3 linked regions of the Macaca fascicularis genome follow. The protein of the gene in region 3 purifies or fractionates together with the protein of the main gene of each other region. This does not show direct contact. Links are inferred from orthologs where the notes say so. Each region holds a gene or a part of one and is shown on either strand. Other genes may lie near its edges.

Evidence for each region.
Region 1: the proteins of EXOSC5 (region 3) and EXOSC10 purify together in Homo sapiens (co-immunoprecipitation; 8 studies listed by BioGRID and IntAct, with this or other methods). This does not show direct contact. The link is inferred for Macaca fascicularis from reciprocal best matches to the Homo sapiens genes EXOSC5 and EXOSC10.
Region 2: the proteins of EXOSC5 (region 3) and C1D purify together in Homo sapiens (affinity purification with mass spectrometry; 4 studies listed by BioGRID and IntAct, counting the BioPlex papers as one, with this or other methods). This does not show direct contact. The link is inferred for Macaca fascicularis from reciprocal best matches to the Homo sapiens genes EXOSC5 and C1D.

What each region holds. Positions count from the first base shown.
Region 1 is NC_088375.1:223,727,938-223,731,541, reverse strand, and holds part of EXOSC10 (exosome complex component 10), read right to left. Parts: intron 2,173-3,604; coding exon 2,088-2,172; intron 639-2,087; coding exon 565-638; intron 1-564. UniProt on the Homo sapiens protein: Catalytic component of the RNA exosome complex which has 3'->5' exoribonuclease activity and participates in a multitude of cellular RNA processing and degradation events.
Region 2 is NC_088387.1:53,857,302-53,861,451, forward strand, and holds the start of C1D (nuclear nucleic acid-binding protein C1D), read left to right. Parts: upstream 1-1,281; 5' UTR 1,282-1,429; coding exon 1,430-1,465; exon of another isoform or gene 1,466-1,613; intron 1,614-4,150. UniProt on the Homo sapiens protein: Plays a role in the recruitment of the RNA exosome complex to pre-rRNA to mediate the 3'-5' end processing of the 5.8S rRNA; this function may include MPHOSPH6.
Region 3 is NC_088393.1:48,530,703-48,534,349, reverse strand, and holds part of EXOSC5 (exosome complex component RRP46), read left to right. Parts: intron 1-1,709; coding exon 1,710-1,850; intron 1,851-3,565; coding exon 3,566-3,647. UniProt on the Homo sapiens protein: Non-catalytic component of the RNA exosome complex which has 3'->5' exoribonuclease activity and participates in a multitude of cellular RNA processing and degradation events.

The sequences.
Region 1 (3,604 bases), on a different chromosome or scaffold from region 3:
CTGTCAGTGGTGGGAAGAGGAGCTATGGCTGGAACTTCGGACCAACACTCAGGGTCAGCTGAAACCAATTCCTCACTGGACAATGACATGAGGTCATTTAAGAAAGGCAAGCAGGCCAGGTGCAGTGGTCATGCCTATAATTCCAGTGCTTTGGGTGGCCAAGGTGGGAGGACTTCTTTAGGCAGTCTGAGACCAGCCTGGGCAACATAGCAAGACCTCTATCTCTACAGAAAAATGAAAAAAAATGTAGCCGGGCATGGTGGTGCGTGCTTGTAGTCCTAGCTACTTGGGAGGCTGAGGTGGGAGGATCGTTTGAGCCCAGGAGTACAAGGCTGCTATGAGCTATAATCGCACCACTGTACTTCAGCCTGGGCATCAGGGTAAGAGTAAGACCATGTCACTATTTTTTTTTTAAAAAAAAGAAATTAAAAAAGAGGTGAACTGAAAAGAAGTCAGGACTTAATACAAAGCATAGGGCAAGCCCCCTAAGATACCCAAGGAAGATCCTGACCACAAGGAGGGGCATCGTTTTTCAAAGGAAAAAGGAGAAAGGCTGGCACGTACCGCGACCTGCTGTCGGACGGAGATGGCCTGTTCTGCTGCAGCTTTGCACGCCTCCTTTGCCTGTTCCCGGGCAGCTGCAAGGGAGAGAACTGTCTCTGGAGTTGCTGAATCCAGCAACCACCCTCCTCCATCTCCATCCTCCTCCGACTTGGCCTAGCCACAGGGGTTGTCATGGCTGATCCCTCCTCCCTCGCAGCTCCCTGGTCCCGCATCTCCGCAGGACAGGCTGCCTGAGGGCTCAGGCTCAGGTGCGCTGTGCACCTTCACCTACACTTGAGCTGATTCTCCCTGGCCCTGGCTGCTCCTGTCCTGTGAACCCAAATGCTCAGTGGCCTGTGGACCTGAGGGCGTTTAACAGGATCATCACCATCACCATAGTGGACAAGCTGGCTCAAACCAGCTACTTCGGCTGCCAGCAACTCCAGCTTTCCAGCTGCTCAGGACAAAATCTTCATCCAAGACTCCCTCCTTTAGGCCGGGCGCGGTGGCTCAAGCCTGTAATCCCAGCACTTTGGGAGGCCGAGACGGGCGGATCACGAGGTCAGGAGATAGAGACCATCCTGGCTAACACGGTGAAACCCCGTCTCTACTAAGAAATACAAAAAATAGCTGGGCGAGGTGGCGGCGCCTGTAGTCCCAGCTACTCGGGAGGCTGAGGCAGGAGAATGGCGTGAACCCGGGAGACGGAGCTTGCAGTGAGCTGAGATCCGGCCACTGCACTCCAGCCTGGGCGACAGAGCCAGACTCCGTCTCCAAAAAAAACAAAAAAAAAAAAACAAAACTCCCTCCTTTCTCTCACCTGCCACATCCACCTCATCCTCAAATGCTGTCAGCTTTGCTACGGGACAGATCCAGGCTCTGATAGGTTCTCGCCACCTCTTCTGCTCCCACGCTGGTCTCAAGGCCACTGTTCCCTCTTGCCTGGGCCACTGTCATGTCTCCTCTCCCTTCCTGGGTTCCCATCCTGTCACCTATCGTCTGCTCTTGACACAGCAGCCAGAGGGCCACATGTCAGTCACTTCCCACCCTGTGTCTGCTCAGCACCCTCCTGGCTTCTGAACTCAGAGTAAAAGGCAGCATCATCCTGTGGGCCCCTGCCGGCTCTTTCCCCATTTCCTGCTCTTCTCTACCCGCTCTGCTCATGCAGGCCCACTTGCTGCTGCTGAGCATGCCTAGTGAACTACCCTCAGGGCCTCTGGGCTCGCTGTGCTGTGGCTCCAGAACTCTTCTCTAGCTCACTGCAGGTCTCGTCAATGTCACATTCATTAGACTGCCTTCTCCAACCACCGTCGAGACAGCTACAGCACCCCCCCAGCACTCCCCACCCATCTCTCTGCACAGCACCTGCTGCCATCTGCCAGGATAGACACTGATTGGCCACCATCCCTCAGCAGAAGGGAAGCCCCACAGAGCAGGGGCTGTGCCTACTTCATTCACAGCCGTATCCAGCACGTGGCTGAAACAGCTGATGTGCAACAGCCGTCCTTTAACAGCTGACTGAGTTACAAGGAAGTGAGTGCTACCTGTTTGCTCAGCTGCCTTCTTCTTGACAGTTTCTTTAGAGTCTTTTTGTACTTGCACCTGGGCCAGCTTCCAACGGTTGCTGATCTATAATGAAAGCAAATATAACAAAAAAAACCCTCCAAAGTCAGCCACCCAAGTCTGTCTTACTTTTCATGAGATGATGTAGGGCAGGTTAACCTAAGAAGTACACACATTCTAAGTCATAAGTTTCAAATCTAAGGGCATGAAAAACAAATTTCATGCTGGCTTTATTGCTAAAATCGCTATTAAGGGGGACAAAGTGCTACTGTCCTCCAGGCACTGGGCCATCCGTCATCTCGTTCAATCTCTCTGTAACCCTGGGACAAAGGTACTGTCATCACCCTCTCTTTAGAGATGAGCAAACAGGCTCGGGGAGACTAAATAACTTGTCCAAGGAACACGGTCAGTAAATGACAGAGGCAGACTCAAGGCTGGGCTTCCACAAGTCTGCTGTGTTTCCTTATGACACCCCACTGACCTATGGCGTTACAACACATGGAGGTGACACTGGGCATAACACACGGGACGTGCGGTTGTTCAATGTGCCACAACCCATCAGAGGAAAAGAGGAGAGGAGGCAGAAGCCCCACCTGATTCCCCATTTCTTTTTTTTTTTTTTTTTTTTTTGAGACGGAGTCTGGCTCTGTCGCCCAGGCTGGAGTGCAGTGGCCGGATCTCAGCTCACTGCAAGCTCCGCCTCCCGGGTTTACGCCATTCTCCTGCCTCAGCCTCCCTAGTAGCTGGGACTACAGGCGCCCGCCACCTCGCCCGGCTAGTTTTTTTTGTGTTTTTTTAGTAGAGACGGGGTTTCACCGTGTTAGCCAGGATGGTCTCGATCTCCTGACCTCGTGATCTGCGCGTCTCGGCCTCCCAAAGTGCTGGGATTACAGGCTTGAGCCACTGCGCCCGGCCTGATTCCCCATTTCTAAAAATAGCAAGCTAACTCAGGGACAGGGACAGGGCTAGGGCCAGGGGACCTGTCGGTTTTGCCTAACACAAGAGTTCTGCTGCCACACAGAGGGAGCCAGTCACTCATGTCATCAGAATAGAGGCTTCCTGCAGGGAAGAAGGAGGCTGCGAACCATAGTTCACGTGCTGGCTCCCGGAAATATCTCAAGGGGGTCTAGGGGAGGTGTGTTCTCATCCTTACTCATAATGCTGGTAAAAACAAGCCAGATAAGTAAGATAGAGTGTTTTAAAATTAAAGCTGTCACCTTTAAGATCCTTAAAGTAACAGACATCTGTAAAAATGCATCAAGCTGTATACTTAATATTTGTGTACTTTACTACATATAGATTAAACCTCAATTAAAAAACCGCAAGTGAAGATTTGTTTCTTACAAGGTTTCCCAGTGCTTTTAAGAATCTCACTGAAGTTCTGGACCCTTTCCCTAGAAACAACGCTAGAAAATAAAGGGCTTTTGCCTTCATTGTCAGGGGATTCACAGATGAGATGGACTTGTCTACAACAGAAACCTGGTCTGAATAATTAGGA
Region 2 (4,150 bases), on a different chromosome or scaffold from region 3:
TATAATCTCCTGGTGTGCCGTTTGCTAAGACCGCTGGAAAAATGCAGTATTAGGGTGGGAGTGTACTGATTTTCCAGTTATGGTCTATCACGGTTTCCCTTTGCCAGGAAAGGGAATTCCCGGACCCCTTGTGCTTCCCAGGTGAGGTCATGCCCCGCCCTGCTCTGTGGGCTCCACCCACTGTCTGAGAAGCCCTAGTGAGATGAACTTGGTACCTCAGTTGGAAATGCAGAAATCACCTGTCTTCTGCCTCACTCACACTGGGAGCTGCAGATTGGAGCTGTTCCTATTCGGCCATCTTGTGACCTCCCCCAAACTTTAAATATTACATACATGGTGCTTGTTCAAAATGCTTTTACATGCATTTAATATATGGACAACTCAGGCATAAATTTTTATCAAATTACGATCATGGAATGACAAGTTACAAATGTTAAGACAATGCTCAATCGCTTATACTAAACTTTCAACGAACAATATGTACAGTTTCTGTTAATGCCTTTATTTTCTATTATGTTTCTTCTGATTGCATACGTTGAAATGCAATTTTACATTTACTGAAACTAATAATAAAAAATTTGGGCTTGTATTTTGCACATATTTTCCCCATTTTTCTACTAATTCATTTTTACTGTATTATAGAAGTATCTTTTACTGACAGATTGGAAAAACAACCCATTCTTCCCCACGGATAATCTGGGAAGCTGCTCTAAGACGCTGATCTTGAGGCAGACAATAAAAGCGTAGTAACAGTGAGGGCCCTGGAAAAGCTCCCGGGAAAGTAAAAATACAAAGTTTCAGTAACTAAGATTTCTTTCCTGGTTAAATACACTCAACCTGTATTTGGGCTGAGTGTTGGCCGGGTACAAATGTAGACAAAGGTTCCCAGAGTGCCGCCCCAATCCTCTCCCACAACATGGCCCCGAGCTACTCATTTTGAGATTTGCCTTTAGAGAAGAGCGAAGGAGCGGGGGCGTGGCGAGCAGCGTGAGATCATCGGAAAGCGCCCCTCGGCGCGGGCACAGCCGGCGCGTCATTGTCGTCATCGTTGCCCGACCGCTTTCCGGAGACTGTAGTCGAAGGCCCTGAGGTATTTTTCAAAGTTGTACTTTCAGTTTTTCTCCTCCTCCTGTTTAACTCCGCTTTTCCTCTCCTGGGATTCCCCTGTAATCCTCTGGGCAGACTGAGAGAATGGGAGTTTGGCTGCATAGCCTTCCAGGAATGCAGTGTCTCACAGCTCTTCGCTGGGGCAGCATTGCTGCAGGTCCCCCACTTCCGCTTGTTTTGGGGCTGCTTGCAGGCTTTGGCTTACCCCGGCCCCTCATTTCTCTCTCTTGCTCCGGTCTTTCTCTTTTTCTTCGTTTGTTAACCACCCCCTTCTCAACTCTTGGAAGACGAAAAAATTAAAAACAACAACAACAAAAAAAACATGACTTCACAATTTTCAGCTGTCTTCAAATCTTGCGTAAGGAGAGAGGCTAAAGTGGGACGTCTAGGGGAGTCACTTTACTGTGTTAGCTCCGTTTATCATTCACATTCACAGACTGCCTGCCGCTGCAGTATTAGCCCGTCTGAGATAGTGGGCTAATTTCGACCTTTAGCTGAAATCTGTGGTGGGTAATCCAAGAGAGCAGTTTTTCTTGATGACCCGGGAAAGTTCAGTGTAACTAAAACTTGCTTGAAAATACCTTTAATGTCTTCATGTTTGCTGAATACAATTCAGTTTTGGCTTGATACAGACGTATTTGTCGCAATGAGATGTCTGCTATCCACTTATTAACCCATTGGTACTGTCTGATGGTAGACAGAACCAAGACTTAACCGTGATTTTTAAAAAAATTAAATTTAAAATTTTTGTGGTTACATAGTAGGTGTATATATTTATGGGGTACACGAGATGTTTTGATACAGGCAGGCAATGTGTAATAATCACATGGAAAATGGGGCATCCATCCCTTCAGGCACTTACCCTTTGTGTTACAAACAATCCAATTATACTTTTAGTTATTTAACCCTGTATTTTTGATTCAAAATTAACAGATTAGCCCTGTCGAAGTACAGAGAAGTATTTGCGTTTAGTGGAAATGATAGAACTCATTGTTTTGTTGAAAGATAATGATAAGTGTGAATAATGGTTTTTCAAAATAAAACAAAATTCTCAGTCAAAAGATACTACAGCTGCCTTCAGTTAGCTGTGTTGTATGTATCACAGTTCAGAAGTAATGCAATTTTTTTTCTTAACTGCTTTTACCTTTCCAAATGGCTCTTCATATGTATTATCTCAGCTACTGTTTCCAAACAGTTGACCCTTCAAGCATAGCTCTACATAGTCCACAATGGATTAGAGTATTTGATAACTTTCACTTTTGGTAAAATACTATCTAATGTATTGAGGGCTGAGCCAGGCCCTGTTCTGATGGCTTTTATCTATATTATTTATTTAATCTATGCAGCAACCCCATATACTGTTATTTAAGAAATGAGGTGATTGTAATAAGCCACTTCCATATGTTTTGGAAGGTAATTTTGCTGCTTGATTGCTGTAATTTTGGAAATGCTTTGAATTAAACACTGAATAGAAGTAAATTTAATCTAATGTAGTTATTCATCTCAATCTTGAGCAATATCCTCATAATTTATATACTCCTCTATTATTAGACTTCTGGATACATTTATTTTTAGATGTTAATATCTTTTTTAGAAAAGGAAGAAGTCTGTATGTACTCAGGAATTGTACTGTGAGACTGAAGGAGAGTCACAGACAATACTAACATGGAGTCACTGTTTGCCCAAGACAGCAATATTTATTGAGAACTTGTGTGTACATTTCATTGTTATTTTCTCCTGAGATAATGCAGTGCAAAAAAGCCATTCCAGTAATTCATTACGAGTGATAGAATTCTGGTGCAGCAACAGCAAGTGGCTCTCAAGTTCCAAAACACAATCATGTTGGATTTATTCTCAAGCTTAGTTCATAACTGTGTATAATTATTTGGTGTAGAGATGGGAAGAGCCCCAGAACGTACATGATCATATGTTTGTTTGGATCCATGTGGTGACTTTCTATTATCTGTAAGCTCAAACTGTAATCTGATATTAAGAGTTTCCAAAATTAGGTCTTAGGTTACTTTGGTTGGTTTTAGTTAGTTAACAAATAGTTGCTAAATACCTAATACATGACAAGACATTATGTTAGTGATGTGTTCAAAATGTACCTCGACATGAATCTTACCTTGAGGAATAGCCCAGTGAGTAAATAACCAATGGAAAGGTAAGAGCAGAGGAGTGACATGATCTGACTTAGGTTTATTTTATTTTACTTTATGTTTTATTTTGTTTTACTTTACTTTATTGTCTGTTCTTTTGTTTTCTTTTGTTTCCTTTCCTGCCCTGCCCTGCCCCGCCCCGCCCCACCCCACCTCACCCCACCCACTTCTTTTCTTTCGGAGTCTGGCTCTGTTGCCCAGGCTGGAGTGCAGTGGTGCAATCTCAGCTCACTGCAACCTCCGCCTCCTGGGTTCCAACGATTCTCCTGCCTCAGCCTCCTAAGTAGCTGGGATTACAGGCACGTGTCACCACGCCCGGCTAATTTTTTTTGTATTTTTAGTAGAAATGGGGTTTCACCATGTTGGCCAGGCTGGTCTTGAACTTCTGACCTCAGGTGATCTGCCTGTCTTGGCCTCCCAAAGTGCTGGGATTACAGGCGTCAGCCACTGCGCCTGGCCTGACTTAGGTTTTAATAGAATCTTCTGTGGCTTCTGTGTTAAGAATAGTTTGTTGTGGGGTGGGGTACGTGAAAACCATGAGACTAATCATGGAGGTGTTGTAGTTCAGATGAGATGATAACATCTTAATTGGAAAGAAGTGAAGATGGAGAAGCAGTTTAATTTTAGATGTATTTTCTAGGAAAAGCCAATAGAATTGCTTACAGATTGAAAGTGAATTGTAAGAATAAGGTTATTGTCAAAGTTTGGGGCTTGAGCAACTAGAAGAATGAAATTGCCGTTAACTGAGAAATAGAAAACTGTGGGAGGGGCAGGTTTGTGGGAAGATTCGGAGTTCAGTTAAGGAGGTGATAAGTTTGTAATGTCTGTTAGTCATCTAAGCGGAGATGTTGAGTAGGCAGTTAAGTATGTTCATTCCGGACTTC
Region 3 (3,647 bases):
CCATGGAAGTGGCAAAGCCAAGACTTAGACCCAGACCATCTAGTTCTAGAGCCCAAGGACCCTGGCAGATGAGTGTTCTTATGTTCGCATGTTTTAGGTGACAAAACTGAGGCCCAGAGAGGGGAAGGGGCTTGCCCAAGGTCACACAACTGGAAGGCCGCACAGGCGGGACTCAAGCCCAGGCCCGTCTGACTCCAGAGCCTGTGCCAATCACTTTTGTGTTTTTGGTTTTTTCTTTGTTTGTTTGTTTTTGAGACAGGCTCACTCTGTCGCCCAGGCTGGAGTGCAGTGGTGCAGTGTCAGCTTACTGCAACCTCTGCCTCCCGGGCTCAAGCGATTCCCATGCTTTAGCCTCCTGAGTAGCTGGAGTTACAGGTGCCCGCCATCACAGCAGGCTAATTTTTGTATTTTTAGTAGAGATGGGGTTTTGCCGTGTTGACCAGCCTGGTCTCGAACTCCTGACCTCAAGTGATCAGCCCACCTTGGCCGCCCAAAGTGCTGGGATTACAGGCGTGAGCTACTGTGCCCGGCTGGCAATCACTTCTACTCGGCACCTCAGTGGATTTCAGGCCCTCAGTGCTGGGGGCGCCCTGAGCAGACAGCGGCTGAGTCAGAAGCTTGGCCTTGAAAGATCTCCCTGTCTGAGGTGAGGGAGGTTGAGGTTGAGGACCAGAATTAGGCACTGTAGAAGGCTTTACTGGAACATGACCCTGAACTGGATAGACATTTTATGGATGGGCAGAGAGAGAAAGTATTGTGACCCCATTTTACAGAAGGGGAAAGTAAAGCCCAGAGGAAGTGGTGGAGGATCAGCAGCAGAACTGGAACCGGCTGACTCTAAAGCTGTGGCCTTTGTGTGGCCTGCTCCGCCTGGAGAAGACACACATGGAAACTGAGGCAGAGCCAGCTGACTCCCAACCTGTGCTGTCTTTCCACTTTGAGCTCCCTGCAGGCAGCAGCGCGATGGCTCTTCCTCCATTGCCCTGCCAGCTCTGTCACCGCAGAGTGGCTGCTACCCAAGTTTTGAGCCTGGCTTTGCCAGTGCCTCCCCCACGTGACTTTGGAAGGTTTCTTCCCTTCTCTGACCCTACTTGCCAACAAATGTGTGGTACGTACTTCAGTACATACCTGTTGAATATTATATTCCCCGTCTAACAGATGAGGAGATTGAGACTCTAAGTCATTTGTTCAAAGTCACACAGCTGAGAGAGCAAAACTGGGTCTGGAACCCAGGGCTACTTGATCCCCAGACCACTTTTAAGCACTCTTGCCATACTGCCCTTCTGTGACCGATTAGTGATGTCTGCCACAGGCATCAGCCTGGTCGGGGGAGGCATGGATCTGCTCTGCTGGCCAGGCCTACGGTAGAAACTTCTTAGGCTGGGCACAGTGGCTCATGCCTGTAATCCCAGCACTTTGGGAGGCCGAGGCAGGTGGATCACCTGAGGTCAGGAGTTTGAGACCAGCCTGGCCAACATGGTGATACCCCGTCTCTACTAAGAATACAAAGATTAGCCGGGTGTGGTGGTACATGCCTGTAATCCCAGCTACTCAGGGGGCTGAGGCAGAAGAATCGCTTGAACCCGGGAGGTGGAGATTGCAGTGAGCTGAGATCACACCATTGCACTGCAGGCTGGGCAACAAGAGCAAAACTCCATCTCCAAAAAAAAAAAAAAAAAAGAAACTTAACCATTGCCTGTGGTGCTCAGCTCCTGGCCTGTTGTCTGAATGCCGCCTGCATGGCATTGGTGGATGCAGGTGTGCCCATGCGGGCTCTCTTCTGTGGGGTCACCTGCGCCCTAGACTCTGATGGGACTCTCGTACTGGATCCTACATCCAAGCAAGAAAAGGTAGGTGTGAAGATTGGGGTGGCTGAAGGGCAGAGGCCAGACAGCTCCCCCTCCCTTCCTCCAGGCCTCACTTCTCTGCAGATAATAGGCTCATGCCACCTCGATCCCACTTAGCAAGGGCTGCTCTTATCGTCGTGGTTCATTTAGCAGCAAGTGCTAGAAACCCAGCTCAAACTTGCTTAATTAGAAAGGAAATGTGGGGCCGGGTGCGGTGGCTCACACCTGTAATCCCAGCACTTTGGAAGGCCGAGGTGGGCAGATCATCTGAGATCAGGAGTTCAAGACCAGCCTGACCAACATGGAGAAACCCCGTCTCTACTAAAAATACAAAATTAGCCAGGTGTGGTGTGGTGGTGCATGCCTGTAATCTCAGCTACTCAGGAGTCTGAGGCAGGAGAATCACCTGCATCCGGGAGGTGGAGGTTGTGGTGAGCCAAGATCGCGCCATTGCACTCCGGCCTGGGCAACAAGAGTGAAACTCCATCTCAAAATATAAATAAATAAACTAGAAAGGAAATGTATGTCCGGGTGTGGTGGCTTACACCTGTAATCCCAGCATTTTGGGAGTCTGAGGCGGGAGATCACCTGAGGCCAGGAGTTCGAGACCAGCCTGGCCGACATGGCGAAACCCCATCTCTACTAAAAATACAAAGGTTGGCTTGGCATGGTGGCACGTGCCTGTAATCCCAGCTACTCGGGAGGCTGAGGCATGAGAATCACTTGAACCCAAAGGGTGGAGGTTGCAGTGAGCTGAGATCGCGCCACTTCACTCCAGCCTGGGTGAAAGAGTGAAACTCCATCTCAAAAAAAAATAAAACCAGGACTTTAAACAGCATCAGGATGTCCTTGCTTCACTTCCCATCCCTGCCTTTCTCTCCACGTCAGCTTCATTCTCTCGGCCAGCATCTCTCCTGAGGCTGGGACTGACCCCTTACGTTCCATTTCCATCTTAAGAGGCTCAAAAGCAAACAAGAAGACAAGAGAGCTTTCCTCGTTGGCTCAGGTGCAGTGTCCTAAGCTCAGGTTATTCTGAGTTTTCTGCCCAGTGCTATAATGGTCCCCTCCAGTCAAGAAGACAGAAACCACTTGGAGAGTTTCAGATGGAGGGAGTTAAATGCAGGGACTTTGTAACAACAGTGTTGGAGGAGCTAGAGGAGGAAAAAGGAACCAGGAGTGACACCCAAAGATGAGAAACCCCTCCCAGACCTGGGCTGAACCTGTGAGCCAGCTCCTGCTCTGTCATGTTGGAGACATCATCTCAATTGGTTCTGCATGCACATAGCATGTCCTGCCTCTGCCCTGGCCACTGAGGTCCAGAACCCACCCCACCTCCATGGCTGTCACACAGCCACGGCCATCAGCGCCTGCCATTGTCAGTGAGGACCAGGGTGCTGCTCTTCTTCCATTCTCCCACCTCATTACTGCTGGAAACTAGCTGGTAAGGGAGTCTGGGACATACAGCTTGCTGGCTTCCAGCCCCTGTGGGGCAGAGCATGGAAGGGTGACTGGGAGGCCGAGAGGCACCAGATAAGTGAGTGGCACTGTGGCTAGCCCCTTGGGGCAGGAATACTAAGCTTGAAAGCCCCTGTCAGAACCGCGTGGTTGGAATAAGGGGCATGGAGTACAGTTCTACAAAGGAAAGGCAGAGGGCTATACCCGGGGAAATAGGGAAGGAGTGGTGTAGACAAAAAATGACTGCGCTTCATGCTTGATAGGTGAGCACCTGGCTGTGGAAAGGGAGAGGCCTGGAGGCCAAGGGTCCGGAGTCCCCTCAGTGGGACTGGCTGCAGGTGTGTG